4 linked regions of the Oryzias latipes genome follow. The protein of the gene in region 1 interacts with the protein of each later gene in a pairwise test. Links are inferred from orthologs where the notes say so. Each region holds a gene or a part of one and is shown in the gene's direction. Other genes may lie near its edges. The genes, in order: vim, ppl, yae1d1 and nod2.

What was found.
Region 2: the proteins of vim (region 1) and ppl interact in binary tests that used the Homo sapiens proteins (3 or more experiments, as listed by UniProt). The link is inferred for Oryzias latipes from reciprocal best matches to the Homo sapiens genes VIM and PPL.
Region 3: the proteins of vim (region 1) and yae1d1 interact in a two-hybrid assay, tested with the Homo sapiens proteins (2 studies listed by BioGRID and IntAct). The link is inferred for Oryzias latipes from reciprocal best matches to the Homo sapiens genes VIM and YAE1.
Region 4: the proteins of vim (region 1) and nod2 interact in binary tests that used the Homo sapiens proteins (3 or more experiments, as listed by UniProt). The link is inferred for Oryzias latipes from reciprocal best matches to the Homo sapiens genes VIM and NOD2.

What each region holds. Positions count from the first base shown.
Region 1 is NC_019875.2:29,283,314-29,290,769, reverse strand, and holds the end of vim (vimentin), read left to right. Parts: intron 1-1,475; coding exon 1,476-1,571; intron 1,572-1,781; coding exon 1,782-1,949; intron 1,950-2,948; coding exon 2,949-3,074; intron 3,075-3,198; coding exon 3,199-3,419; intron 3,420-4,048; coding exon 4,049-4,092; intron 4,093-4,175; coding exon 4,176-4,261; intron 4,262-4,337; coding exon 4,338-4,379; 3' UTR 4,380-4,706; downstream 4,707-7,456. UniProt on the Homo sapiens protein: Vimentins are class-III intermediate filaments found in various non-epithelial cells, especially mesenchymal cells. Vimentin is attached to the nucleus, endoplasmic reticulum, and mitochondria, either laterally or terminally.
Region 2 is NC_019866.2:25,749,523-25,756,499, forward strand, and holds part of ppl (periplakin), read left to right. Parts: coding exon 1-54; intron 55-126; coding exon 127-249; intron 250-325; coding exon 326-472; intron 473-1,632; coding exon 1,633-1,784; intron 1,785-1,948; coding exon 1,949-2,052; intron 2,053-2,145; coding exon 2,146-2,303; intron 2,304-2,384; coding exon 2,385-2,563; intron 2,564-2,658; coding exon 2,659-2,797; intron 2,798-2,876; coding exon 2,877-3,070; intron 3,071-3,148; coding exon 3,149-3,299; intron 3,300-3,388; coding exon 3,389-3,472; intron 3,473-3,553; coding exon 3,554-3,670; intron 3,671-3,872; coding exon 3,873-3,965; intron 3,966-4,051; coding exon 4,052-6,724; 3' UTR 6,725-6,977. UniProt on the Homo sapiens protein: Component of the cornified envelope of keratinocytes. May link the cornified envelope to desmosomes and intermediate filaments. May act as a localization signal in PKB/AKT-mediated signaling.
Region 3 is NC_019878.2:20,807,390-20,815,069, forward strand, and holds yae1d1 (yae1 domain-containing protein 1), read left to right. Parts: upstream 1-2,729; 5' UTR 2,730-2,869; coding exon 2,870-2,986; intron 2,987-3,074; coding exon 3,075-3,196; intron 3,197-4,324; coding exon 4,325-4,769; 3' UTR 4,770-5,049; downstream 5,050-7,680. UniProt on the Homo sapiens protein: The complex LTO1:YAE1 functions as a target specific adapter that probably recruits apo-ABCE1 to the cytosolic iron-sulfur protein assembly (CIA) complex machinery. May be required for biogenesis of the large ribosomal subunit and initiation of translation.
Region 4 is NC_019861.2:30,235,633-30,243,386, reverse strand, and holds the start of nod2 (nucleotide-binding oligomerization domain-containing protein 2), read left to right. Parts: upstream 1-2,586; 5' UTR 2,587-2,666; exon of another isoform or gene 2,667-2,866; 5' UTR 2,867-2,944; coding exon 2,945-3,421; intron 3,422-5,754; coding exon 5,755-5,881; intron 5,882-7,307; coding exon 7,308-7,754. UniProt on the Homo sapiens protein: Pattern recognition receptor (PRR) that detects bacterial peptidoglycan fragments and other danger signals and plays an important role in gastrointestinal immunity.

The sequences.
Region 1 (7,456 bases):
ATTTTCTAGTCTAATGAACCGTGGAGAGTTTTAGTTTGAGAGTGGAGTCAGCTAATAATAAAAAAAAGAGATTAGGAAGCTCTACAGGAATGCTTGGTGGTTTGGGATGCTCTGAACAAAAGGTATTTTAGAAAAGTCCCAGTGAATTGCTCCCTTGTCCCTCCTAAAATAAAGCTATGCAGGCACACAAAGGCCACCTCAGGTTCCTTTCTATTCATTCACACAAATCTGCTGGTTTCCTGTCATAAATTAGGTGCACATCTGGTCAGAATGTGGACAAATAATGAGACACCTATTTTCAGCCGTAGTAACCCTGGAGAACCCAAGGAGTCAAATTTGGCCACTGTTTTTTTTTAGGCTGCCATCTGGACTCTTCCATTAAAAGATCTTTAATAAAGTGCTAATAGTGGTTTTAGTCTATCACCTCAAAGCTCTTCGAACAACACTGGCAACCTACTTGGGAAAAAAATGTCGGTTGTAAGTTTCAGATTTTGAACGGCTGATTATGTTGAACAAAATATTAGCAGTTTTAGCTTAATTAGTGTCTTTGTACAAAGGTAATTTTGGTTGCGAGGAAGCAGGCCGTGTCACACAGCCACTACCTACATATCGCACATTTTCCCTCGTATGACATGTCTGTCTGTTTTGATCCATGCGTGATTTACGTCATTCATTAGTGTTTCTTGCGTTCGTCATTCGTGGATGTGCGCAGATGTCCGTCGAGGGTTTCAGCCAACGGGCCTTTACATGATTTTAGGTTTTGAGCTGCTCAAAATTTTTGGTCGGTATAAAATTACGCAGTTTACGCATATTTAAAGTACAGTATACGCGTAAGACTCACGCAATTGTGTGTGATTTCTGCAAGATGCATTTGCAAATTTGTGACCTTCTACAACCGTTCCACGTTTGTCTGACAGACTTTTCACGCACAATCTCCAGATGCATAATATTTTTATTGTGCACACGGCGCAACTATCACGTATGACCACGTATAGTGGCTGTGTGACACGGCCTTCAGCCCGCGAGGGCAGTTAGAAAGGGGGCCACTAGGGCGGTCGCTGGGGGCCATCCAACACCCAACATCGTGCAAGACTTTAATATCATTTTGTTACCTGTGTCAAACTACCTGAAAAAGCCCAGAAAACAATTTTTCTCGCATTTTCCAGGGTAAAGCAGTTGAGAAGGAATAAATAATTTGTATTTTTGTGTCATATCTTAAAAACAACCAACAGAAGGTGTCAATAAATACATGATGTTAGCAGCACCTGCAAGGACATGTGTGGCCTGCCCACGGCTGCTTTTTCTGTTTTTGGATTCATGTTATGACCTTGGGTGACAACACAACCCACACACACACACTGTTTATAGGTGCTGTGAGTCCTCTTCACAGCATGTGCATCAGAATATGTCAGCAGAATGCATAATTCATGTCACCTTCACAAGTCACCTTATTAAGAGTGAGTGTCATGGCGCAGGACGTGGACAGTGCTGCCCTGGCTCGACTGGACCTGGAGCGGAAGATTGAGTCGCTTCAGGAGGAAATCAACTTCCTGAAGAAGCTGCATGATGAGGTAAGCTTCGGTGTGAGGCCAGGCGGCGTCGGGTTGCTGCAGAAACACTGCGCTTGCACTTGAAAATCTCATAGGGATGCACAAAAAGAAGCCGCATAGATGTTGTTGGTGTTATCAAATTTCCAGGTGGTCTGAAGATGCCTGGAAAAGTGCAGGAATAGGAGTTTGATTAGTGTTTTTTGGAGACTGACGTGAACATGTCTGCTGCAGGAAATGCTGGAGTTTCAGAGTCAGGTGCAGCAGCAGCAACAGCACGTCCAGGTTGACATGGACGTGGCAAAGCCCGACCTGACTGCAGCTCTGAGGGACGTTCGCCTGCAGTATGAGAACCTGGCCACCAAGAACATCCAAGAGTCAGAGGAATGGTACAAATCGAAGGTAAGAACTCAGGGTGAAATTTGAAAGTATAACATGGAGTAAATACAGAAATATGAATAAATAAAAAAACTGCAAGTTCAGACTTCATCATGTTTTTGTCTACTATAGTAAAAGCCTCCTTCTTCACAAATTTTTTTTAAACCAACTGATCATTTCCTGCTCAGTAAATCGTTAAATATAAAATGCTGAATATGCTGAATCAGAATATCTACCGCCCTCGTTGCCCCCTTTAGACCTAGCCTTACTGGCTGAGCATCTACATGCCTCAATCCCCCAATCTTCCCCAGCCACCCCGGTCAAAGCTAAATGTGAAAGAAATTGATGAAAAAAAAACACTTTTTTTCCAAATGTTAACTTTTCTGTTGGTTTTATCTCCATAGCAACCATATAATTCCTTGTTTGCCTGAAGGTGACGAACAGGGCGATGTAATTTTTAGACGAATCAGAGAAAAGTAAATTTTGGGATTTCCTTGGCAACGGAGGTTTTATGTTAACCACGCCTACATTCCTAATATGGTCACATGGTACGGTACATCATTTGAGCCCGGCATTCTTGGATTACACATTTATACAGAATTCTGGTAAAAAATGTGCAAGCAACAGGAGAATGTCACTTCTGTGAACTCGCCACGCCAACGCCGTTCAAAATCCCAATGATACTCGAGGAGTAAGAAGGCGATAGATTGACATCTCTAAAAGGAGTTTAAATTTGTGGCTGGTGGCCAAAGGGGACATTTTCTTTTTAATTCAAGATGGCCGCCTCTTTACGAGGTCAAAACTTTGACTATGGTTCTAGGCCTAACCGTGTGTGAAGATCGCTCCAGCAAAAGTTTTCTTTCCCAACTTTGCCACTAAATGGCCGCCAAGTCGTTGGTCCTGTGCCCATCCCTTAATAATTTCAAAACTTCCCTTGGAAAGAAGAATTGCGGAAAAAAACCCCCGTAGAGTTGACTTTCTGCACCTTCAGCTCCCTGCCCGTCCTCTGTTTGTCGTTTCAAGTTTGCTGACCTCACTGAAGCAGCGGCGAGGAACAACGAAGCTTTGAGGATGGCCAAGCAGGAGGCCAACGACTACAGGCGCCAAGTTCAGGCTCTCACCTGTGAGGTGGACGCCCTCAAAGGAACTGTGAGTGAGCAGTTAAGGAAAACGATACCTTCATCGTCAGCCTTGGGGTGTGTCAATCAATGCAGCTTGAAAACCAGCACCCATCAGCTTTTTTGTATTTGCTTGTTATCTGTTTGCGTCCCAGAATGAGTCTTTGGAGCGTCAGCTGAGGGAGATGGAGGAGAATTTCTCCCTGGAGTCTAACGGATACCAGGACACCATCGGTCGCCTGGAGGAGGACATGCATAACATAAAGGATGAGATGGCCCGTCACCTCCGCGAGTACCAGGACCTCCTAAATGTCAAGATGGCTCTAGATATTGAGATCGCCACCTACAGGAAGCTGCTGGAAGGAGAGGAGAGCAGGTGACGGATCCACGATTTGGTTTGTGTAATGCTACGTTCACATCAGGGTCGGAAATGGGCCTTCACCACTTCCAATGAAAGGTCTATGGACATGCATATGCGCGTTTTGAGCTCTCGGGTTCAAAGCTCTCATGTCCACGCATCGCTACACATGATTTTAAGTCTGTTTCAGGCTGAATGCACATTAAAAGTTAAACAGGTTTGAACAATCAGAGACTCGAATTTGGTAGTCACGTATGGATGGCGTCCTTTTCAAGGCACCAACGTGCCGACCGTTTGAAAGATAAAATGATAATTGCGGTTTGTGCCCGGCTAGAATTCAATGACCCCAAGTCTGATATATCGGAATCGAGCTGTCAAAGAAAAAGTCTGGAGCAAAGACTCACCAGATTTAGACATTTCTACGGTGGCCCAGAAGCCTCTTCCAACTGTAGGTAAATGCACTATTGGATAGCGACAGTCCAGATCAAATTCCATGAAATAAAAGCACATTCAAGAATGCTTGTTTGGTGTGTTTCTTTACATGCCCGGTGTTTGTGTGTGTGGCATAAGCTGCTGTTAGCGCTCTCTTTTTGTAAATGTTTTAACAAAAAGCCTTTTTTCTTGTTTGTAAATTTTTGTCTTTGCAGAATCTCCACTCCTCTGCCAAACTTGTCTTCTCTAAACCTTAGAGGTGATTTATTTATTCAAAAGCCTATTTCCAACCCAAAATATTCAACTTTATTTTAATGATCTTTGACAAATGTTCTTCCTCAGATGCAATAGTTGACTCCAGATCCCAACTTGAAACCACAACAACCAAGAAAGTTCTCATCAAGACCATCGAGACCAGGGACGGTCAGGTAAAGTCACCTTTAAGAGTCTTTTGATCGGTTTGATTGATCTCTCATTTTTAATAATTTAGTTCACCCTTTTCAGGTGATCAATGAGTCGACCCAGAACCATGATGACATGGAGTGATGACGCCTTTTCCAAACAGCTGATGCGAGCAATAAGAAGATCCACGTTTCCCCAATCAATCCAACGACCACCAGGAGCGTGGAAAGTGCCTTTTACATGTGATGATCCAGTAAGCTTGTTAGTTTCCACACTGTGCTTTGCTTTTTTTCTCTGCTGACAGCACTTTGTCACGTTTGTTTAGATGGATTGATGAACAAACTATAAAAATCCTCACTGAGGTCTGCAAAAACATTTATTTGTAACCAAAGTGGTATTTTGATTGAGCATGCACTATGAAGAAGAAGTTCACTATTTCCTGAATGCAGCAATAAACTCTGGAGACTGTAACTCTGAGATGTTTTATTACACTTTATGGACACAACCTTTCATTTGTATTAATTTCCATTAGTTAAAAGGGAAATAAGATTGTCTGGGTTTAGAGGAACACTTTTTGCCGCTCCATCCTCTCATTTGGAAATGGATCATGGGGGCAGCAGTCGGAGCAAAGATGCCCAGATTCCCTCTCCCCGACCGCTTCCTCCCCGGGACCTCCACACAGTGGGACATGCCCGAAACACCTTCCCAGGGGGGGTGTCCAGAAAGCATCGGGACCCGATGCCTGAGCCGCCTCCTGACTGCCCCCTTGACGTGGTGGAACGGTTGAAGAGCTCCTGCTATCCCAGGAGCTGAGCTGCCAGGGGTTCATTCTCATGGTGGGGTGTCCTATGGCAGACAGCTCCTTAGTGATGACCCAGACAAAGAGCGGTTTAGACCCCCCTCTATGAGTAGAAATCAACAAGATTGAGTTTTGTCACCCGGATCGGCGTCACCGGGGCACCACTTTGGAGCTGGGTTTCGCAGGTGATCGCCTGGTGGCGGGGACTCCTCCCAGAGGTCCTGTTTGGATCCAGCTCAAAGTGATGACGTGGGATCACTCCCCCGTGGGCCCTCCTCCTGCTGGAGGGTTTAAAGGTTGGCTATGTGCTTTGGGCTGCAGTCAAAAGCAGGTGCCTCAGCGGCCCAAATTCTGCTCATGGAACTTTGCTTTTCTGTGATTCATAAAGTACAAAATAAAAAGAAAGGGTGGCCCGCAGAGCAGACTTTCCTCTAAATATGATCCTTTTTTCATCTGCTCCTGATTCACAGCAAATTAAATAAAGAAAACCAGAAATACAATTTTAAGCCAAATTTTCTTCATACATGTCCTCCATTATCAGAATAATGCAGAGGAAATATTCAACACACTAAGACAAAATAACAATTTCATCAGAGTTGTTCTTTATACGGTAAATAACTACAACTAAAAATAATAATAAACTTTCTGCATCTGCTCACAAGAAATACGGCATTAAAAATGGTCTGAATTATGAATAAATGAAATGACCCACAGTTTAAATGAACTTAATTAAATGAGTTGGGTTAAACCACAACTAATCCTGGTAAAATTTTATTCATATGTATTTGTTCTCACTTCTAGTCACAAGGTGGGGATGAGAACAGGGACGGGGCAGCAACCCCCAAGCTGGAGGAGTGGCTATACTCCTGGAAAGACCTCAGACCTCTCAGTCCAGAAAAGAGCAGTACCAGGAACAGCTAAGATCCTGCAGGACCCTCAAGCTCCCAGGCCTCTGATAGAGGACCCGAGCTTGGAGGAGAAACCACCCGCGGGGGGTTTATTTTGATTTATTTGACACTTTTTGGGTCCTTTACATTATTGCAGAGCCTCAACCTCACCAGGTCTGATTTGAGGGGATGAAACACACCTGCGTGACTTCATCAAGCAGAGGGGTTTTTTCCTGACACCTGTCGGTGAAATACGGTAACGGATTTTGGAGGACCCTGAACAAGCAAAAACAAAAAAGTTCATCAAAAAGTTTGAATTCAGTAAAAACCCCGCGATTATTCAGATACTAGTTCTCCTTAAGGAAAACAACAATAAAGAGTTACAACTGACTTTAACCCCCCCCCACACACACACACACACATTTTCCATTCTGTCACTGATCCATAAAAACTTCCTAGAAACCTCCGGTGTGAATCAGAATAAAACTCACCGTCATTTTCCCGGGAGAGGCACGTTTGTTGACGGGGCAACTTTCCCCACGTGACGTGTCAGCTGGAGGAAACACGGGGGGAGGGGGTGCTTCCCTAAAACTCCGACATTCCACCTGTTTCCCGGTTTGCAGCTGAACACTTGCCGGTGATGAACGAACTGCGCGTTTTTGATGGCGAGCAGAGCCGCCCGGTTCCAACAGGTACAAAGGAAGACGACAGGTGAGCTCGGAGGGCGCGCGCTAGTTCCTGCCCAGACTTCTTCAGCTCAGGGCTTCCGGGATGGGCTCGGTCACCTCCGCCTTCACCAGAACCCGGAACGCCTTAGTGAAAGTGGGCTCCGAGCCCGACAAGCATGACCCGGAGAGGAGCCAGTCCGCGCCGGAGTCGGACCGAACCAGGAAGAGAGGCGCGTGCTTCAACGCGTCCAGCCAGACCGCGCGGCAAAGCTCGCGCCAGTCGCTGTCCGAGGTCCTGAGCAGACAGGACTCCAACAAGCAAAGTACACGGAAGAAGGTTTCTGACGGTCAGCAGGGCGGTGAGTCCGAAACCCAGACGGTCACAAGTCATTCTGGAGCGCATCTTCTGGGCACTTTGGCTATTTTTTTTGTTATTAACCACAAAGAAAAAAATGCAAAAGTGTTTTCTTAAATTGTGCTCTTTTTAAAAAAAAATATTAAGTAAAAATCTACATGAAACATAATCAGTCAGAACTGTAAGATCTTTTAGGGACAAAGTGGTTATCAACTTGTTTTTGATGTTTTTCTAAAGACTGAACTTTAGGTTTTTTATTAAAACAGTGTGGTCACGTGACCAAGCAGAGAACATGTATTATTTCAGCTTTGGTGTTTGTGCTTTACACATTTTTACAAGGTCAGAAACTTTTGTTGTTTAGGTGGCAAAAATGGTTTCATTGCACCAAATACATGAACTCCTCTGTGATTAAAACACAGTTTTGCACTGTGACAAACTGCAGGCGGATTTCTTTTCTTTTGTAAGTGTTCCAGTATATGTCTGACAGGTAATTTAGCAAACATGGTGTTGAT
Region 2 (6,977 bases), on another chromosome or scaffold:
AACCTGCTTATTTGTGAAGAAAACCACCTGAAGCACATGGACGAATACCACCAGGTAAGACATGACATGAAGTGCTTTGACTGCCGTATTTACAGGCAGGTGAGGCTCACCTGTTTCTCTATGCAGTTCAACAAGGAGGCACGTGACACCCAGGACCTACTGAAACGGCTGGAAACCGAGATCAGCCAGAAGTACAACCCCGAATTTAAGGATGTTTATCAGATGGAAGGCCTCATCAGTGAGCTGGACGTAGGTGTTCTGCAGTCCAGACTGCAGCTGACCTGTGCAGAGCTGAAGCTAAGACGTCCTGCTTCTGTGTCTGCAGGATCAAGCTAAGGCAATGGACCATCTGGATGAACGGGTCAAGGCTCTGCAGAAGCGAAGCCTGCAGGTTCTCCCTCTGAGGTACCGCAGGGAAACGCTCCAGAAGCTGCTGCCCATTGAAGCTCTGTGCGAGTATGACACCGACGAGGTACGCGCCACGTTCACTGCAGCTGCTGCTTCAGGGTTTGCTGTTTGGTTTGTGTTGCACTTTCATGACAAGAGAGGCTACACTGCTGCAGATGAGTACTATGGATACTGTTACTTTCAGAAAACGGCTTTATGGGTATTTTCAGCATAAAGCAGGTACAAAGTCTGAGAGGAACTGAAGAACACTTCTCATTATCCACTCTCTATAACAACCCCTGCCCAAAACCAGGAACAAGCCTTACATAATTAGCCAGATTTCTTTCCGTCAGGACATTTGGAAGCAGTTCTGTTGCTGTGACTGGAATGCATCAGTCAGGACGCAGGGGGCGATGCAGCAGCAACTTGCTCCATTTTCTCAACAATTATCTGTTGAAACGTGTGTCTGCTGCGCTGATAAAAAGGAGAAACGTAATATTTGTTGGATTTATGATGATGCTGAAGAAGTGTGAAGAAGAGCAGAGATGTTTCTGGTTCACCAAGGATCTGTAGAGCAGGTTGCAGTGGAAACAGTTTATTTTTCTATGACTATGGAGGTGTGGCTTATTTGGACTGTTTTGTAAAGGACACATTCTTTAATAAAACAGCTTTTGTCACAAATCTCAGTTTGAACGCTGTACTTTAGGCCTTTAGTAGATAGAACGCCGTCAGAGGGTCGCAGACAGCATCTTCCGTGTTCCTAGCCAACAAAGTGAAGGAGCAGCAAAATATTTTGGAACAGAGACATGGATAGTCTGAAGGAAACGTCAGCTTCTGCACCCAGACTGGTTTAAGGGGGGGGGGGGGGGGGGGGCTTCCAAAAACCGGGACGAATGCTGCTCATTCACACACAAATCGTTGACGGTTCTAATGGAGCCGGCTCAAACGATGCCGGTGGCTCCAAGATCCATGCTATTAAGGTCTTTGGCTAAATCTAGTTTATCATGACAAATACAGGTAAACATAGTGATTCACCCCACAGAACAAAAACCAAAATGAGCCTGTTATCTTCTCAATGGTTCCCTTTTTTGTCTGGGTTAGAGGAGAGCAGGTTTCATCACTTTTACCTGAAAGGAGGCAGCATCCTTTTTATTCCTTAGGAGAACTTCTGTGTTCTTCTGCACTCTTGAGTCTTGAGGAGAAGATGTCATCTGCAGCCAAAATGACCACATTGAATTTGTTCAGGGCCAGATCCAGCGTGGGGAGAGGTACACTCTTCTGAGGAACAACGGCACACGGTGGGACGTGAAGGATGCAGCTGGACGTAAACTGACCGCCCCTGCAGTCTGCTTTTTGATCCCTCCCACCGACCCGGAGGCTGTGGCTGTGTCTGACAAGTAGGTCACCTTTCCTCACCCTAATGATCTAAAGCATTAAACAGGAGGAACACAGCTGAGGAGCCCACAGGAAGATCAGCCCACACCTGTAAATGCTGCTCTCCAAAGAGTAGAAACTGTTTTAAAAAGCTTAAAGAGCTTAATCTCAGCGTTTGTGCTCACAGACTGGTCAGCCAGCAGAAGGCTGTCAAGCAGAAAACAGCCAGCTGCAAAGCGTCTCTGCAGAAGCGCTTTAATGAGCTGCAGAAGGAGATTGGAGCTGGGACAGGTAAAGCACAGACTGACTGTTGCAGTAAACATCACAAAGCATCTCCGTCCTCAGCGGGCTCAGACCTCAGCTTTGTTTCTACTCTGACTGTAGACAAGGAGGAGCAGCAGTGCCGCCAGCTGATGGCCGGTTTGGATAAAGTCGTCACCGACTTAGACAAACAGGAAAAAGCTATTTATGCACGAGTGCGCCCACCGCTGGAACAAAGCCGGCCACTGCAAGACGGCGCTGACCGCCTGCAGGACATGAAGGTAAGGGTCCTCATTGATCCTGCTGGTAGACACTTCCAGCTTTAACAGACTCATTCACGCTCTTCCAATGCTTTCCTGCAGGACATCTCTGCAGCTGTTGACAAGATTAAACCAGAAAAGTCCTCCAAGGTGGAAGAGGCCAGACGCTTCCTGGTCTCTAATTCCAAGTGTGCCAGTGCCCCTCAGCTCCACAGCAAGGCGGATGAGACGGAGAAGAAGTGTGCCAAGGTGGAGCAGCTTCTACAGTGCTCCCAGGAGAAGTATGGCATGTTTTTGGCTTTTCAAGTCCCAACTCAGACAGTCTCTGCCCAAGGTTTGCTTCACTGCATTCATCTAAAACGTGACATTTCTTTAGGCTAAAAAATTCCCACCAGCTGGAGATGTCTATTCAAAATGGAAAAGCTTTAATATCCACATATGAGAACAAACTGGCCAGGGAGGAAGTTGCCCCACGGGACATGTCCTCATTGGAAAAAACTCAGCGAGAACTTGCTGTAAGTTCCATTCGTGGATGTTCAGCTGGCATCACAGCGAGCCACAGATTTTCATCACATTCTCATGCTGCTCCTCCAGAGTATGGCTTCAGATCTGAGGTCCAAGAGCTCAGTGATGGCGGAGTTGGAAGAAAACCTGCGTTCAGCCAGAAACAGTTGCAACAACATGACCTCCAGGTTTCATGAGCACTGTCCAGACATTGAACGACAGGAAGCGGATGTGCAGAAACTCAACAAGCGTTTCAACAACCTCAACAGGCAGATCGATGCCAGGTGAGTCAGTGAGAAAGAGGAACTGCAGCTATCCAGGCCTACAGTCTCCACAGCCGATTTCTCTGCTGCCCCCCACAGGTCCCAGAGCTTGCAGAGAGCCAAAATGGCATACAACAACTACCAGAACGACTACGACAACTTGAACAGCTGGCTGTCTCGTGTCCCAAACTATGAGCCCAGAGAAACTGATGATCTCAGACAGGTGGAGACTAAGCTGAAGAACCAGAGGGTGAGATCACCACCTTTACACGAGCTGTGCTGTGGAAGAATACAGTCACTGAAACATGTGTTGACTCCAGCAAAACTCCTTTTCTGCAGAACTTGCTCTCTGACATCACAAGGAAGGAGTCAGACTTGAACAACGTCTCCAAAAATGCCAAGCTGTACCAACAGGCTGTGAAGGTACAGATATCCCTCTGACTCCCTAAACTAAACTAAACTGAAGTGAGGTGGAGGTCAAATGTTTACAAGTTTTGTCTGCAGGACTATGAGGCTGAAACAGAGAAGTTCAAGTCAGTCTTGGATCTTGAGGATGGTCTTGTACCTCAGAGCTACAAGAGAAGCAGACTGGAATCACCTGCAGTGAAAGTCAAAGAAGATGTGAGGCGCTGCCGTCAATGACACTGCTCTCTCTCTTTCATCTGATTCAGCCTTCGTGATTGGCTGTCAGACACCACCACCTAATCCAGACGTTTCCTTTAATTCTGCGTCTGTGCTTTTTCTCAGTGAAAGCAGAAAGGGAACCGCTGTGATGGCTGTCAATCATTGTTGAAACAAAGATGTCTTCTTCTAACACTTTCAGGAAGCTGAAATTGAGTCCAAGTTCACAGAAGTGAACGCCGTAAACAAGCAGAGGCTCCAGAATCTTGAATTTGCACAAAGCCTTTTAAAACAGGTAACATTATTTACCACGTTTGTAGCATCTGCACGCAAACCAAACAAATCTATGCCGATGATATAATATTCTCACTCTTCATTCAGCAACCCGAGGTCCCTATGATCCAGTCTACAAATGTGCAGTCTGTCCATGCCGCTCCTCCAGGGGAGGAGCCTTGGAGAATCAGGAAGCAGCTGGAAGATGAGACTCAGAGGAGAGAACAACTTGAGAAGGAAATCAAGAGCATCCAGACCAACATTTATGAACTGGAAGGACAAAAGCCCCAGGACACCATCGTGAAGAAGGAACTAATCAAAAATGTTCCAGACCCACAGCTGGAGGAAGAGGTTCATAAGGTCCAGCAGAAGCTGTCAGAGGAGCGCCGCAACACCCATGTCCTGGAAAACGACTTGGAGGTGCTGAGGCTTAAGTTGCGTGGCCTGGAGACCGAGCTCAAAGAGGGGGCGCAGCAGTACACTGTAAAGGAGGTGCTACGTATCGAGAGGGACAGGGGGCAGGAAGAGGAGGTCCGCAAACTTCGCGATGAGCTGGAAGAGCTTAGAAGGCAGAAGATGATGAAAGACAATGAGCTGACTCAGATAAAAAAGCAAGTGACCCTCCTGGCTGAGGAGAAAAACAAAGAACAGGAGGTGATCACCGAGGAGCAAGTGATCAAAGTTCAGAATGACCCCCAGCTTCAGTCTGAGTACCGGCTCCTGCTTGAAAGGAAGCAAAAAGAGACGGATAGTAGAAAAGAGCTGGAAGACGAACTGAAGTTTCTCCAGGAGAAGCTCCGAAGGCTGGAGAAGGAGAAGGCCATGGCAGAGGAGAAGATTTCCATCAAGGAGGTGCTTAAAGTAGAGAAAGATATGGCTCTGGAAAGGGAGGTAGAAAACCTCCGGAGACAGTATGAGGATGAGAAGTCCAAACGCAGATCCTCTCAGCGGGAAAAGTCTGACCTCCAGAGAAAAATTACAAGCCTGGAGGAGGAGAAGAACAGGGTTGTGGTCCAGGAAAAAGTTAGGGAGATTGTCCGTCCCGATCCAAAGGCGGAGAGTGAGGTCGCCAATCTCCGTCTTGAGCTTGTAGAACAACAGAGGCGCTTCAAGGATGCAGAACTTCAGTTGAAGTCTCTGCAGGATGAACTGACCATGCTGAGGAACCGAGGACCTCAGGTGGAGGTCAAAGAGATGATCAAAGAAGTCATCAAGTACAAAACAGACCCACAGACCGAGAAAGAGCTGGAAGGTCTTCGTGAAGAGATCGTTGATAAAACACACCAAATTGAGAAATCAGAGATGGAAATCCGCCAACTTCGTGACGAAATTCAACGATGGAAGGAGACAAAGCCTCAGGTCCAAACTAAAGAGGTGGTCAATGAAGTGCTGCAGTACAGAGAGGATCCCAAGACCATGGAAGAGATTGAGATTCTAAAAAGAAAGCTGGCTGATGAGCAAAAGAAACGCCTTGATCTGGAGAGAGAAAAGTCTGCCCAGGAGGAAAAGATCAGGCTAAAGAAGTTGGATCTGTCTCAGGTCAGAGAGAAGATTGTTGAGGAAATAGTGGTCGAGATGGTAGAAGATCCTATCCTCAAATCAGAATGTGAGAACTACGTCCAGACCATCAACAAGGAGCAAGAACTGAAGGAGAGCTTAAAAGCAGAACTCTCAAGGCTGCAACGACAGATCGCTGACTTAGACCTACAGTTGGAAGAACTGGAGCGGGAGCGAAAGGCAAGACGTGAGGCGGAACTGGAGATTCAGAGGCTTCGGATCAGGCTGAATGAGCTGGAAATCCGGGACAAAGAAAATCGCGAGAAGGTGACAGTCAAGCAAAAAGTGGTGCTGCAGCAGGATCCCCAGCAGGAGAAGGAACACTCTATCCTGAAGCTCCAGCTCGATGAAGAGCGGCACAAGCGTACCTTGCTGGAGAAGAGGCTGGACGCCCTCAAGCAGCAGCAGCTAACCTTGGAAAGAATGGACGTGAAGGAAAGAGTCGTCCGCACTGAGAAGGTCCAAGTTGAAAGGGACCCAGAAGCCGAGATGGAGATTGATGACCTCCGGAGAACTTTAGACGAAGAAAAAAGGAGAAGGCGTGACCTTGATCAAGAGCTCGCCAGCCTTACTTCCAGGCTCTCAGATATGGAGTTTCATCAAACTAAGTCTACCAAAGAACTGGACTACATCAGAGACGAGAGCAACCGTCTGCAGCAGGAAAACCAGAGGCTGCAGAATGAGATCCGCAGACTTCGGTCCGAGATTGACATTACTAGCAACGAGACAAAGCTTATCACCGAGTCTGCACCAAGGGATGACGGGAAGAACTTGGAGATGAGACTTGATGCTTTGCAGAAAGAGCTTGCAGAGCTCAAACGCATAACAGTCCAGAAGGATGAAGAGATTGAAAAGCTGCAGAAGAATCTTGGGTCAGTTAGTATCAAGAGGGAACAAAGAGAGAGCCACCTTCGGCGCTCTATCGTCATCATCGATCCAGACTCAGGCAAAGAGATGCGACCGGAGGAGGCCTACAAACTGGGCCTGATCGACTGGAAGATGTTTGTGAACCTGCAGGGTCAGGAGTGTGACTGGGAGGAGATCTCGGTCAAAAGTCCTTCAGGGGAGTCCACCGTGCTCCACGACAGGAAGTCTGGAAAGAAGTTCTCCATCGACGATGCGCTGCGAGCTGGCCGCATCACTGATAGGCATCTTCAGCAGTACAACAACAAGGAAATCTCCATTCAGGAGTTTGGCTTGATGGTATCAGGCAAGACCAAGTGAGCAGGTCAAGATAAGGGTTTGGGGTTCAATGCTCAGATTCCTGTTTCAGCTTTGGTTAAAGAAATCCTTTTTATAGTTTGCTCTCAACACTGTGGGAACTGGGCCTTTAGCTGTTTGTTTTTTAATCCATTTAATTATAATGGGCTTCTCGTCTCCTCTGTGTCCGCTGTGCAAAGATTGAAACTCCTGCCCTAACATAATCCACTCTGAGCCTGTACTGGGGTTAATGACCTATGACCTAGCTACTATTACT
Region 3 (7,680 bases), on another chromosome or scaffold:
ACTACCTGTCTATAACAGATAAACAGCAGTTTTTATGCTGTAATAAACCGGAGAATGCAGAACGCACTAAATATGTGTTAGCAAAACAATGAAACAAAACGATAACGTGAGTTAAAACATTTTTCAGCCACCATATAGTTGTCATTATTTACTTTTCTTTACTTTCCGCCGTTTTAGAAGGTCATGTCCAACCTCATCTTGGAAACTTGGGTATCAAAATTATTTTCGAGTTTTCCATGGGAAATTACGACAAAGGGGGTCGTTTATGTGCAAACTTCACCTCAGATCGCTTCGTATTTTACGTAAATTGCGCAGCTGCACAGAAATGCTGGATAATGTAAAAATAAAGCCCCAACATCCTCCAAACTTACCTTGTGATTGATGTTGAAGTTCTTTATCTTTTTTTAGCTCCTGGTGGTGGATAAAGTCTCTGAGGCATGACGTTTTCTTGTTGTCGCTTTGATCAGCGTGACAAAATGTGCTGTTTTTTTTCTTTTCCCCAACTTTATTGAAACAAAATGCGCTCGTAAATGCACACTGTGCCAGACTCAGATGCAATTATGTTGACCAATCGTTGCTAAATGGTGTAACGTCATTATTTGGGTTGCCAAATTGGTTCATGTGTGCTGACAGGGGGGATCATTAAAGTGCAGGCAACTTTCTTTTGCACAACATTCAGAGCACACTTTGGTAAGGAAGTTCTATGAAATGGGTTGCCAGATTTGGGTCTTTTTTAATTTAATTTTTGTCGCCACTTCGGGGCCCTGCTGGTGACGGGGGCCCTACGCGGCTGCGTAATTCGCGTATAGGGAGGGCCGGCCATGCTTGCTCTGCCTCAAGATATGACGTCATGACACATTGACAGCTTCACACCAAAGTTACACCAACTTAATTGAATTAAGTTGATTGAAAGTAAAATAACTATGTCCGACAACTACGGGGTTATTTTTAAGTTGATTGAACTAAAAAAAAATATTTTCACCAAACTAGATAATTAAGTTAGATCAATGTAAAAAAGTTTAACTTTCCAACTACAGCCCAAATACTCTTTTCAGAGTGTGATGTGTTGTGTTACCGCAAAATTTTGATGTGTTTTTGTCCTATTTCCACAGAGTTGCCTATAGTCATTAGCTCAGGCTTGTGTATGTCAATTTTCAGAGAACGAAGAGAAAGTCAACGTATATTCTTATTTTAAGAAGAAAAGTACAGAGCATGATCCACAGCCAATATTAATGACTGAAGAGGAGGAAGACAAAGATGAGACGGCATCAGACGAGGACAAGTCAGCATCATTGGTCAGAGAAACAAGGTAGAACTCAGCAAAAAGGGCTTGACCTGTTCCTGGACCAACAGGTGATGTTAGAAATATGTTGCCCTAATAATAAAACTGTTTCATGTGTAATTAATCTCAATAGAAATGTCAATAGGTATTTTTATTTTTATTTCAGAACAACTGGTTTCACTTTTTGTTCATTATAGATATGTAACAGTCAAGAGCCGAACACACCAAGCAGACACACCTAAGCATTAAATATAAACACAATTAATCAAATTATCAGTTGTAGGATCTACTAATCTGCCACAGACTGGCGAACTGTCCAGGGTGTCCCCAGCCTTCGCCCACAAGTGGCCGGGATAGGGTCCGGCAGCCCGTGACCCAGAAAGGAACAAAATGGCAGAAGATGAATGTGTGTCTACTAATGATATCTACTAGTATCTACTGCATAGTGGTATCTACTATAAGTTAATGTTGTATAAAATAACAGTAGTAGTATCAGTGGTGATTTAACATATGTTAGTTTTCTAAAGGTTGTTTTACTACGTTTAGTAGAATGAATTTTAAAAATATTGCTCATTTTTTTGTGTGCCACCCTAAGATTAAAGTAAGATTAAAGTTGTCCCCTACCGGCCATCCCCATGAAAATTTTCTGGAGGCGTCACTGATTGCACCAAGACAGGACTAATCTAACTTAAACAGGCCTTTGAACAGACCTGCTATTCACCAAAAGAGGACAAACTACATAGTTACAACAGTGCATATTTTATTGGGTATACATAAGTATAAGCATACATACAGCAAATATACTATAGTCTATGTACATGTGCTAAATACTTTTTCAGACTTAATTGGGACATTTTAAGTTTACAATTTATAGATGATGTATAAAAATTAAACTTCAAGTATACGGCCTTAATTGCAGCATAGACTAATTAATACTACAATTAGTAGTTTTAGCTAAGTGTGGAGTTATGTGTGCAACATTTAAACAAATTAATCCAGGCTTGTCTACAGAGATTATATTATTAATAAAAATTAACAAAAAATATTGAACAAAAATTGTTCAAAATGTAATTAAATCTCTTCTCCCAATAAAAAATGACAATATTTTATCTATAATAATTAACATGTGTAGAGCACATATGCAGTCTGAATTTAAACCATCTTTTTCCTTTTTTTTCTGTTGTCATCAATGTTTTTTGTCATTCTTTGGAATATGCAAGAAAACGACAAATCAAATAAGCAAATAAACATTAAGTAGAAATTCAAATTAAATTAGATTAAACGTCAATATGAACACCAGCATTGTTGTAAAATACATTTTTTTCTTAAATTACATGTTTAAATAAAAATAATATTTTTACAAACTTTGATTGAATATAATATAACATTTCAATAAGAATATTTTCTTTTTAATGTTCCTCTTAATATTTAACATTTTTGAGGCTACGTCGCAGGTTGATGATGTCACCGCGTTAGCTAGCAGCAGGCGCAGAGGCGGCTAAAATGTCTGTAAGCGTTGCTCGTTTTCAGTCCAGTTCCACTCAAAAGTAAACGTTTGTCGCAGAAACCTGCCGTCCGTTTTCGCTCATGATGTCTTGGGTGAAATCCGCGTCGCTTAATAGTGAAGATGTGTTCGACGAAAACGCAGACGAGCTTCATTTACAGAGCAAAGAGTGGACCTCCAACATGAAGAAACGCGTCATGGTAAAAAAAAAAAAAAAAAAGTTAGCATATTATTGGCGTTTATTTATTTATTTATTATTACTTTATTGACTTCTTTTCTTCCGAACAGGACGGATATGTGGATGGAGTTGATGCCGGGGAGGAAGCCTCTCTTCAGGTCGGGTTTAACTTGGGGTTCAAGGAAGGAGCAGCCCAGACTGTAGCTGTGGGTCGACTGCGAGGAATTCTGGGGTAAAATTCACCTGACATGTCACTGAAAGCTATAGATTATGCTCAATTCCCACTCAAGTAAGAGTAGCCTTGCTCCCAAGTACTAACAGAGTAGAAGTAACAAGTAGTAATTCCAGTTTCCACTTAAGTAAATTTGAAAATTAGGTTAAAAACAGCAACTCAAGTACTGAGTAAAAGTAGCTGATTTATAGCGTAAATGATGCAGTCTGACCAAAGAAAAACTATAAATTCTGCTCTTTTCACTTATATTTTGAAATTTCAAAACAGTTTTTCCTTCATTTTATTTGAAACACTGATTTAAAATAGGAAATATGGATCCATATTGTGCTCTGTTTGTCCTAAACCTAATAGACATTCTGCTATAGATTAAAAAAAAGCTGGTTTGCCCTATTTTCTATTTAATGTTTTTTAATCAAATCTGCTTTACAAACGTTAAAAAACAGATTGTCTTTTCAGTTTCAGAAATTTTCAAATGTTATAGGTGTAGTGGGATTTAATCTTTACACTCTTCTCGGCTAATGAGTAATTTTTAATAATAAATAATTGGATTAAAAAAGGTCAACAAGTCTTAGTTCCAATAATAATCACAATTTAAAAAGTGTGGCTAGCACTGCTGTTTCTAAAGCGTTACTTGGGGAGATTTAACTGAAAAAAATAACGTTTTACTGCTAATCTTTATACATGTTTAAAATACACTAATTTCAAGATTTTACTACACTCAGTTTAGCTTTTTCTTGGTTAAAAAAAAGTGTAAAAAATGATGTGTTTGTGACATTTAGCATAGTTGTAATCTGTTTCCTGATTGTTTAGGGGTGAATTATGAATGATTTAATGATTTATAACTTGATATTTTAAAGTAAAGTCAATCATTTTATCCTGACTAGTTGTAAAGGAAGTAGGGAAGCTCTGACCTTCACTGTCCGATGAAGGTCATTTAAGTGTTTTGACGTCATCATCACTTCACTTTTGTTCCTCTTTGACTAAAGAATCCCTCACAGGGTTTTTGTGCAGAAACATCCTGACTTCCTTTGTTGTGATGGTTTATTGAATGCGCTTTTCTGTCCGTCAGACGGCCGCTCCAGTCTTTTCTATGTGCATCACGGCTCCCTCTGTGTCTCCCCGCCACAGGGCGGTCTGGTGCTGGTGCCAGATCCAGCATCCAGAAAGACCAGTTCCCACCCCTGTGACCGACCTCCTGCAGCGGGTTACAGAACACGAAACCCAGATCATGGAGGACATCAGGAAGGCTTTGGAAAATCCCCCTCCGAGTGTGAGTGACGTTTCGGAAAGCATGGACGCTCTCGATGTGGAGCAGGAGGATCCCTCCCTCTGCAGAGATGGAGGAAGTGGACCGTGTTGTAACAAGAGAGATGAAAATATGGATGTGGACAACCCTCACCAAAACCAAAAGATCCGCTCTGGGTCCACCAGCTGTTCCTCCAGCCCAGGTGAAGGTCTACACCTGCTCCTGCAGTGCTGTATGGATTTAGCATCAGAGCTGGGACTGCCGCAGGAGCTGATGGATCACATCCACGAGCTCGGGAACATCGACCGCATGAGCAGCATGTTTTAAATCTATTTACAGACTAAAAGTCTTGCTGGAACATTTTTCTTTCACAAACAGAAATGTGTATAATTTATGAAAGATTACTTTTTCATTTTATGGTTTGTAAATAATGTTTTTGATCATAAATATCTGTTTTGATCCAAAACAGAAGGTGTGTAAAAACAGCGGGGTATTTAAGTTCTAATGCTGAAATTGCGACACGAGGTTTGGTTGTAACCTATTGTTCTAAAAATGGGGAAAGTTTTTATTTTCACCTTTTCTTAAAAATAAATATGTAATTTACATATTTACATATTTATTTTTAGCTTTTTTTTTATAAATGCAAACCAACTGCTAATTTAAAGAGTAGGTTTTCTATCGAGAAAATTTGTAACTTATTTTAGAGCATATAACGGGAACTAAGTTATTGATAAAATATTTTTTATACAACTGTAGAGCTTCAAAAAGGTTTTAGCAAAGTTTTTAAGTATATATATATATATATATATATATATATATATATAAACGATTTTACAAATGAATGTATACAAAAAATATTCCCCACAATGTAAGGCTAAATTAGATATGTACAGATTAAATCAAGCATATACGAGTATAGTTTATAGTTTTGATTTTGAACGCGAAACATCGTATTGTGATTTACTTGGCAGCTCTTTTACGAGGCGCACCTGAACGTGGCACAAGTTCAGTCGCACATCAGTATGACGTCACCCTCGGACCGAACCGTGACCTGCTGCTCCTGCTAAGCTAAAGGGTCCGCGTACAGATGTTTCGCGGGAAGCTCGTTGAAATTTCGCGTTCTGTGCGCCGTTGTGCTGCGGGAGTCCACATTGAGGTGTTGCTGGAACGCACTACATGCGGCGGCATCGAGTTCCCCGCACGGCAGTCGCTCCGGAGAAACGCACGTTTGTGCGTTAAGTTTGCTGCAGCTAGCTGCCAGGCTAAGAGGCTAACCTGCTCCACAAAAGTGAAACAAGAGGAGCTTCGAGGGTTCAACTTTTGAGAGTTTGACTTTAAATTGAATAAAGGTACGTTCATTTTTTAACAATACAGTTTTATGTTTTTAAAATTTGCTGCCCTTAAAATGTAAAATACTTCCTTGCATTTCATTCATAACATAATATTAGGATTCACTTAAGTTAAGTTATTACTGCATTTTTTTTATCTACTTGCCCTCTTTTTGTAAAATAAAACCAATATGTTGAGATTAAAGCGGACAGTTAACATTGATTTTACTTAAACGTTTTAATTTGAAGTTAAACATTTAAATAGGATTAGGTAACTAGGTAACTCCTGTTTCCTTGATTATTCGAATCTCCTAAAGTCTCACTGCATAAAACTATTAAAGCTGTTTTCAAACATAACACATTTAACATTAGTCCATCTCAAGTCATTTATTTTGAACACAATTGAAATTTATTGTCTCCTCTATAGTCATATGATGAATCTGTCCAACAGTTCAGCCCCAAATCCAGTTTTTTGGTGCTTTTTTCTTTTTTTCAATTGTCAATAGTTTGGTCCAAAGTGAGATTTATACTCAGCAGAAGTTGAATGAATGTGATTGATCTCTGTGTCCACTTAAGGCTCTCTAGCCACGCGTGTTTTGAATGTGTGGATATTTAAAGTGTGGATGCCATGCTTTGAACAACTTTGTCAAATAAGGCCAGTACACTTCAGTTTCATGGATCTGTGCTGCACATTTTTTTGTTTGTTAGTAGTTGAAGTCGTTTTTCCCAGCTTCAGATTCACAAATATGCTAGTGTGCGATGAATTTTGGGAGAGGTCAAAGGTCAAGGCCTCATAAACGTCAAAAATGGCTACAACGGGCGTTGACTTCATACCCAACCATCTTTTAAAATTTGCGAGAGGACGGGTTGATTATTTCTGTCAACGTGAAGCAAGTTTCATGAAGCATTCTGATCTGCTGAAGAAGAAAATAGAATATTGTATTTAAAGACCCACTCGGATGAGAATCATGTTTTTTTAACATGTTCTTGTAGCATTTTTCTGATGGAGGAGATAACGAAGCTTAAATTTGCAGTTCTGAGTTTGTTTCAATCGTTGTGCATCAGACGAAAAAGATCGTATGAGTCACATAGAAAATACGCTGGCGCCGGCCACAAGCTTCCTGCCCCGCCCCATTCCACAAATAGATCCACGGACGTCTTTTGTTTTCCTCATCTGAGCTGGAATCTGGCTCAAACCTGTACGGCTGGAAAGCTCCGACATTCCTCGCCATTTTTGTTTTACCGTCAATGCTAGGTTAACGTTGTGAGGGGCTAGCAGCAGAGCATGTAAACAGAGAGCTCTCAGCAACAGGGAGGGGTAGCGGGGTTGTCCCACGCCCACAACTCAGAGGTGAATCTCTGATGAACTCCTGCCGCTCTGCAGAAACTATGTCCTAGAACAGTGTTTTTCAACCTTTTTTGAGCCACGGCACACTTTAACCTTGACAAAAAATCCCGCGGCACACCAGCATCCAAAAATTAAAAAAAAGGAGAAACTCATAGTCTGTATTGATCTACAGTACGTCCACAATCTCACATGCATTTTTGTGATAATTGTGGCAGAAAAAGCTGGAAGGTGCAGCTGTTTTTTCTAATAAATGTAATAAAAGTTAAGTTAGAACAGTGTTTTTCAACCAGTGTGCCGTGGCACACTAGTGTGCCGTGGGAGATTGTCCTCATTAACTGATCAAAAAACATTTCCCATCTCCAGGATTTCAGCTCTTTGTTCATCCAAACAGGCCCTGATAAAACACTGAGGAGTTAGGAATATGAAAGATCATAAAATACTTTTTCTTTGCATTTATTTTATTTTATTAAAGACATTTTGATAAGAATTACGCGATTCAGCTGCACCTTCAGCTGTATTTTGGAAAAGTCCTGTCCCTTTAACTGTCTCCACCAATCATCCC
Region 4 (7,754 bases), on another chromosome or scaffold:
TCATCTTTAAATTCCCCTGGAAATCTGTATACGTTTACATCTCTGCATGTCTACAGCTGTTTACAGGGCAGCTGCCTTCACTGTGCCGCTGCATTTGCATCTTTTTCCTAAAGTTGGAATACATTTCCCCATACAGTTTAAGGTGCAGCACGGGACAAGATCACGGAAGAAAAACTCCCCGTTCAGCACAGCATTATGAAGAGTCTCGCCTTTGCTTCACACAGCAAAGAGGACAATCCAGCAAGCAAAATCCAAATCTGCTGTCTGGACTTTTAGAGCCTGACTTCAGACTTCTAGACATAGCAAATGAATAAAACAAGGCTTCAGAAAGTTGCATTGGTTTTTAGTAGATCATTGGAGCTCTTTCTTTTTTGCAACATCAAAGGCAGCCGTGGCTCTTTGATGTGGCAGCATGCTGTTTAAGGTACAGACTGAATGGAGAGATGTCAAGCTGCAAGGTGCCTCAGTAGTTTACGCTGAGTGCTGCAGAGAGCTGCAGATGAAAGGAGCAAACAGAGTTTGATAATGAATGTCCAACAAGTAGGACCCATCTCAGACGATGCGCGCTCAGCGGGGCGCCTGCGCTAACCTTGAGCGCAGCACCCCAAACCTTGGGGAGACACTGGAGACCAGACTTGTTCACATTTGCTGCTTGTGCAAAAAACACAGACTCTTAGATGTGAGCTTTAATCCTCATGTCAATTAGGCCCCCTGATTGACACACCCACCGATACACACTGAGTCACCCACACATGCTTCTCTGAAGCTGTCTGCACTAAAGTAGATGTCATCCACTCCCAGAGCTTAATGCCTCTCTCTACCATCACACACAAACCTCTCCAACCTATGAGTCAGTTTTCTCATGCCTGCCTTTCTAAACTCACCTTTAATGTCTTTATTGAATAAATGGCAGCTAATCTTTTAATTTGGCACGTCTTATTTCATTTCAAGCTTCTTTCTTGGTGACCTTCAGCTCTTGCACTTGCCAGCACAGACGGAGAGCTCATTTTCTTTTAAAGGGTAATTTTTGAAGCTGGAGGTGCCATTAATGGCCCAGAAAAATGGGCTCTTTGAATGTTTTTCATATTCTTTTTCAAAGCAGCGTCTATATAAAGTGCAAAAGCTAAAATCACTTACATTGTTGTTTTCTTCAGCAGGGACACCCCAGAGGTGGTTCACTGAACTGCACAGGGGCCACCTATGTACATTTTGCGCTACGTAAAATACCCAGTTTATGTGTATTTTACGTAGTTTATACGCAATCAATAAGTAAATCTGTGCATGATTTTTACACGATGCACACGCAGATTTGTGGCTTTCCATGTATGTCCAACAGACTTTTCCCACATGTATCACCGATGTATAACTTTTATATTATGTATACGGCACGCATATAACATTAAAATGATCGTTTTCGTTTTTTCCGGAATCCGGTTTTTTAGGAGTTTTTCCTTACCAGGAAGGGGGGTCTAAGGGCAGGGATGCCAGTATAGCTTAGTCAGTTTGTTAGTTCCTTTTAGTATTTTTCCTAATGAACTCTATGTATTCATGATCCTTTTGAGTTCATGCTTCACTTTTTCAATTCCCGATACAAAGCCCATTGAGACGACTGTTGTTGTGAATTTGGGCCATACAAATAAAATTGAATTGAATTGAATAAATTGACGCACGAGTGACTTTATACCTTATTTTTAAAGTCTCTCAAGCTGCTCTGGACTCCTGTCTGTTATTTAGATGACAGTATCCCCCCTTTAGGTTTCACACAGGATGCCTTACAGGTAGTACTCTGCATTACACTCCCCAAGGGGGAGCTGCCTGTTTCTTGGTGAGGAGCTGAAAAGAAGCTATCTTTGATTTCTTCTGCTCATTTATGTTTCCCTTCAGAACAGAGAGGCCTGATAACGAAACAATCACATGGTCAGGACGGAGCAAAAAAAAAAAAAAATTTAAAAAGCATTCATCTTCTTCCGTTAGTTCCCTTTCGGGGTCACAAGGCTGCCAGAGCCTATCCCAGCCACTTGAAAGAAATTGAAAAAGAAATTGAAAAAGCATTGCAAAATATGATTTATGTATCTCATCTTTTGATTTTACTACATTTCTATTCACCTTTTTTCACATACAGTTTGTTTGGGTTCTAAAATAAAAAAGGCACAAAAAAAACTACATAGCTGCAGAAATTCAGAAATATGTCAACCCCAATGTCAACCAGTCACAGGTTTCTCTACAAACCAGCTAGATTTTTTTATTACGCAACAGTTCCATCAAGTGGGCGCAGCATCAAACTGCAACCCTCGTCTCTGAAACCTTTCTCTCTACTTGATCATGTTCCACACAGCACAGCTTTTACATAAAAGAAAGGGAGAAATGAGCATTGTCTTTAAAGTTTTTTTAAAATATAAAGAAACCTTCACATTTCTGCTATAGAAATATGTTTACATGTGATAGAACTAAGCAGAAAATCTATGCTGCAAAATCCGCCCCAACAGGGAAGTACTTCAGACAAACTGTTTTTATTTTTTTTAACCAACATTTACTTTTGATTAAAGTTGTGCAAAACCAGTTTCACTTTCAGTTGTGGAATGAGGAAGAGGACAGACAGAGGCTCACCAACAAATGTTTCAGGACGCCCAAATGAGAGAAGGAGCCCCGATTGCTGACATTTCGTAGTGAGAGATCATATTTTAATAGCAGGTTTTCAAGTATATCTTCAGGTTTTGACAGAATGTGACTCATGTGGATGGACGCCATACAGAGATCACTAAAGAGCTGTGTTTTGTCTACCTATGGCGTCCAATGCAAACTTGTAAAGCGAGAATTGTAAAACTCGTGGATTCTTGCCATGAATGATCACATCTGTGTTTGGCAGGCTGGGGCGTTGCGAGCAGCACAAGTCCAAGATGGAATCTTGGAGCATGGAAGCTGATGCGAAAAAAGCCCGTCTGCCATGGAGCGTTTGCTGAAGCAGCGTACAGAGATTCTGCGTGCTCTCTGCAGTGGTGGGTCAGCTGAACATCTGGAAAGCATTTTGGATATACTGCTGGCTCAGGAAGAGATCACATGGGAGGACTACCAGAACGTACAGGTTACAGGAAGACCACTGAACAGCAATGCCAGAAACCTGCTTGACCTGGTTTACACAAAGGGTGCAGACACCTGTGAGCTCTTCCTCGCTGCTCTCAAACAGATTCTGCCAAAAGAGCAGGGGGCTGGTCTTTGCTTCTTAGAACACTCATCCACTTTGGATGAACTAGAAGTCACTCAGAGGACATGGACGGAGACGGTCCTGAAACGAAGACCTAGTCTGGTCTGGAAACTGCAGGGCTCCGTTCATGATGCGGTGGAAGCTCTTGTGGAGTCTGGACACTTCTCCTCTGCAGATGCTAATGAAGTGCTGCTACCTGTTTACACCCCGTCTCAGCAGGTGAGCATTTTTAGGATAACACAAATGAACAAGACTTGATTGGGTAGGCAGGCTTTAGGTATTTGCATTTTTACAACTGTTTATTAAAATATTACAATAAAGTGTTTAAATATATATTTTTTTGCTTTGGTTTAAAGTTCCTTTATTTTTCAAGAGTTTTTTTTAATTTTAGATTTTATTTATTTATTCGATACAGGGACAGCGCATATTAATAATTATTTCTGTCAATATTCATTCAATTTTTTATCTGGGTAGATGTTAAAATCACCTTACAAGATCAAAATAAAATTACATATTTACATAACATTACATACATATATTAAACCATACATTCAGTAAAATTAGTAGTTAACCTAAAATTAAATTGGCAATAAAACAATCCAAATCGGACAAATGCATAAACATATACACACACACAAGACAAGATAGTAGCGGGTAATCAGTGATAGGAAGTGTACGTAGTGTTGACAGCTCTGATTGTCAATGAGCCATTTCTTTAACTGTGTCTTAAATGATTTATATGTGATTTGATTTCTAATAGTCATGGGGGTGAAGTTCCACTCAGTAGCAGCTCTAACAGCCCACTTAAATAGTAAACCAGCAACCATTAAAGAGAGTTTCAACTGCTTTTAAAATTTGCTACATCAAATCCTGCTAACGTATGGATTAATGAGACCCTGACTTTTTGAAACTGTGTGTATGTTTTATTCTAACGTCATTTAAAAAAAAACACACAAAAGATAAAGATCAAATGGCCATAGCAGTCAAATTGACTGTTTGCTATATTTTTCTGATCTTTTTTCTGCTCCAGTGTCTTTTTGTTTTTTTAATGCTCTGTTTTTTGATGCTCTCTGCTGTGCCAAGTAGAAGAAAAAAACAACTGTAATAAAAGTTACCAGGACTTGGAAAAGGTTTGATAGGATAAATACTCCATGACATAAAAATTAAAATTAATTAAAAGAGAAATTTCATGTCCTTTCTACTTTTATAACATGATTTTTGTTTCATTTTTGTCATGGATATATACACGAATATAAAGAGAAACTAGAATTTTCCCAAAATGTGAACATATTTTTTACTTTTGAGAGAAGCTCATATAGGAGGTCAAATGACTTTCTTTTAAAACAAAGACGCTCTGTGCAGCTAATGTACTTCTTCAAACAACTCAGGGCATAAACAGTGTTTTCACTTTTTATTTTTTAGGTCGACTGTGGTGAGATATCATCTTTTTTTTCTTCCTGCTGCTGTTAACAGGAACATAAACATGACTTTACTGCATTATGATCCAGTAGAAAAAGTTCACAAAGAGTACATAAATATATGTGGGGTTTTTTTAGCAGCTCGCTTCTGTTTAAATACTAACCATTTTTGTGCAGCATGAGACAATATGTGCTTTGAACTGAACTGAGCAATTAAAGAAGGTCAAACTTTTTACCAAAGTTTTGCTTAATACTTGAAATCTGTGTATTCTGAAGGAAGCGTAGAGCGAACAAGGCCTCTTGATGTCAGCAGGGATGTAAAAAACCTTAGTTTGTATGTCTTCTAGGTGCACCTGAGCCATGAATTTATAAACTTAATTGACCAAATTCGGGTACACCGAGTGAGTGACAATGTTCTGACTCTGTTTTGGCTTACTGTGGCTGCCCTGTTTGTGTTTTAAACCCTGACACTCGCCCACAACCTTTCCCAACAACTGGTGTTCCTGGCACCACCCAACAAAAGATCAGCAGCTTAATTCTTTAGCTCGAATGAGATATGCAACTCTCTATCCGTTGCACAATTTTAAAGTACATGCCAAAGACTGTTCTCCTCTTACAGATTAAAAAAAAAACTACCCACTCCTCGACATTTCTTGTACCTAAGATTTTTCTTTAAAGCACTTTTAACCTAAAATGAGTGACTGTCAGTTTTACTCTCGTCATGTTCCTCATTTCTAAGTCACTTTGCATACAAACATCTGCAAAATCACTAAACATAAGCAACACGGTGACAACTGACATTGTTTTGGTGATGGCTGCAGGTAAATGTGAGAGGCTGTTGTTTAGCTGTGAGGGATTTTTTTCGTGTGCGCTGTCATGTCTGCAAACAGGAATCATTCATTCATCCCCGTTCAACCCATTTCAACACTTAAAGTGATTCACATTTATCAGACCTGAAATCTAGTTCTCCTTTATTGAGTAAATTCTCATGTTTTTTGGTTGATTGATCTTGTAACAAAAGCATGTCCACTTATTTACGTTTTTTCCATTTTTTACTTTTTAAGTTCTTAAAAACTTTGATTTGTTCAATGTTCCATACAAATATGTGCATTGATTGTGCTTCCTTGTGTTCAGGCGAGGCGACTTCTGGATCATGTCGGGTCCAAAGGCGAGTCGGCATCAAAAATGCTGCTGCAGTTCAGTCAGCAAAGTGAAGAACCCCAAACCTCCCCGAATCAGGACAAGCTCACCAACACCACAGGTATTTCCTCATCAGGGATGAATCTTCTTCATGATTAATTATTAAAATGTTGCTGAACTAATCCCATTTTTCACGTGCAAATGTGAAAAAAATAAAATAAAATTTAATTTGTTCTTCTGCGTAACCCTGTTATTCTTTTTCTGCCATTCGTGTGAGGAGTAGTTTAATTCTGAGTTAGTTTGCAAGACTTAATAAAGTTAAATCAGCAATAAGATTTTAATGCAAAAAAGAAAAAATGACTAGTTGTAAAAATTTAAATAAAACACTTTTCAGTGCAAAAGTAATAAACAATTCCAGACTTTAAGAATAAAAAAAAGACGTATGTACAAGAAAAGTCCGTATTTACATACAAAGACCTTTAAAAATGAATTCAAATGATAAAACACCAACATTTCTGTAACCCTTGTGCTATCCTAGGCACTTTAACATCGGGAGTTGGGTCATCTAGACCCAATAGACAGTGCTCTGAACCTTTTTTCCTCAATGATTTGTGATCTTCACTGGTGTCACCTTTATCCACCTTTGTCATGGTAGGGAGAACACGTCAATGATTCTGAATGTAAGGGTGGGGTCATCTAAGATAGCACAAGGGTTGAGTGTTCTGTAAAACAGGTCAAAACTTATGAAAGCATATCTCTCCTCCCTGGAACTGCTGACTGGAAATGAATTATGTGACAGTTTTTGAGCGGTGGATGTGAAAACAATCATGTAATCCCCTCTTTGCATTATCGCTTTGATTACCACAGAATGAGCGGTGTTGAAGTAGAAAAAAAGGAAAAAGCATTTTGGAGGATTTATTTCTAATATTATTTTTGAGTCAATTGATGCAGTTACATTGTGAAAATGAAAAAGCATTTCTGTTAATCCGTATTAATTGGCAAATTAGATATATCTAATTGAATCTTGGTACATGTACTAGAAAACTTTTTGAAAGTGAAATGTGAAATACCTCTTTCTTTATCATTTTAATTAAGTGACAGAATGAGCGGTGTTAATGACGAAAAAGAAAAAGCTGTTTGGCGGATTGATTTTTCCTTTTAATATTGAGTCAACGAATGCAGCTTTATTGTGACAATGAAAAAGCATTTTGGGTATTGACTTTTATTTTGAATTATGAGACAGATATACTTTCATTCAATTTGCACTAAGTGGATTACACGTAATTGCTTTGACCAATGACTGCCATGCTGTAAACGGTGAGTTGGTGTGAAAGTTTTAGGTTTCCAGCAGGGGTATTTCTGTCTTTTACTTTGTGGTTTGGACCTAAACTATTTTAAACACGGTTACACTCTTTCTAAATAAAAAAAGAGAAGTGACAAAAGTTTCTATGCAGATTTTGGACTGACAAATGTCAGATTTTTGTGATATTTTTATCCCCTGCACAAATGTAGATTGTCTTTACTTTGTTTCCTCTTTTATCCTTTAGAGGTCTTGAAAAGATTCAAGGAGAAGCTGAGCAGCTCTGTGTCAGCAGAGTCCTGTTTTCTCAGTACGTACGGAAGGACCAACCACATGCCTCTTGAGGTTATCTTCACTGAAGTCCAGCTGGCGTTACCCGACAACAAACCTGTGAGCCTGGAGGAGATAGTGAGTCCTAAGGATGCAGTGAACGGGGAGGCGGACACGGTGCTGGTGTCCGGGGTGGCAGGAAGTGGGAAGAGCACCCTGCTGCAGAGGCTGCACCTTCTCTGGTCTCAAGGGAGCGCCCTTCGGGACTTTCTCCTTGTGTTTCCGTTCAGCTGCCGCAGGCTGAACTCAGAGCTCAGAGAACTATCCCTGCAGGAGCTGCTGTTCCAGCACTGCTGCTGGCCGGACAGAGGGCAGGAGGAGATCTTCCAGTTCATCCTGGATCACCCGCAACTCATCCTCTTCA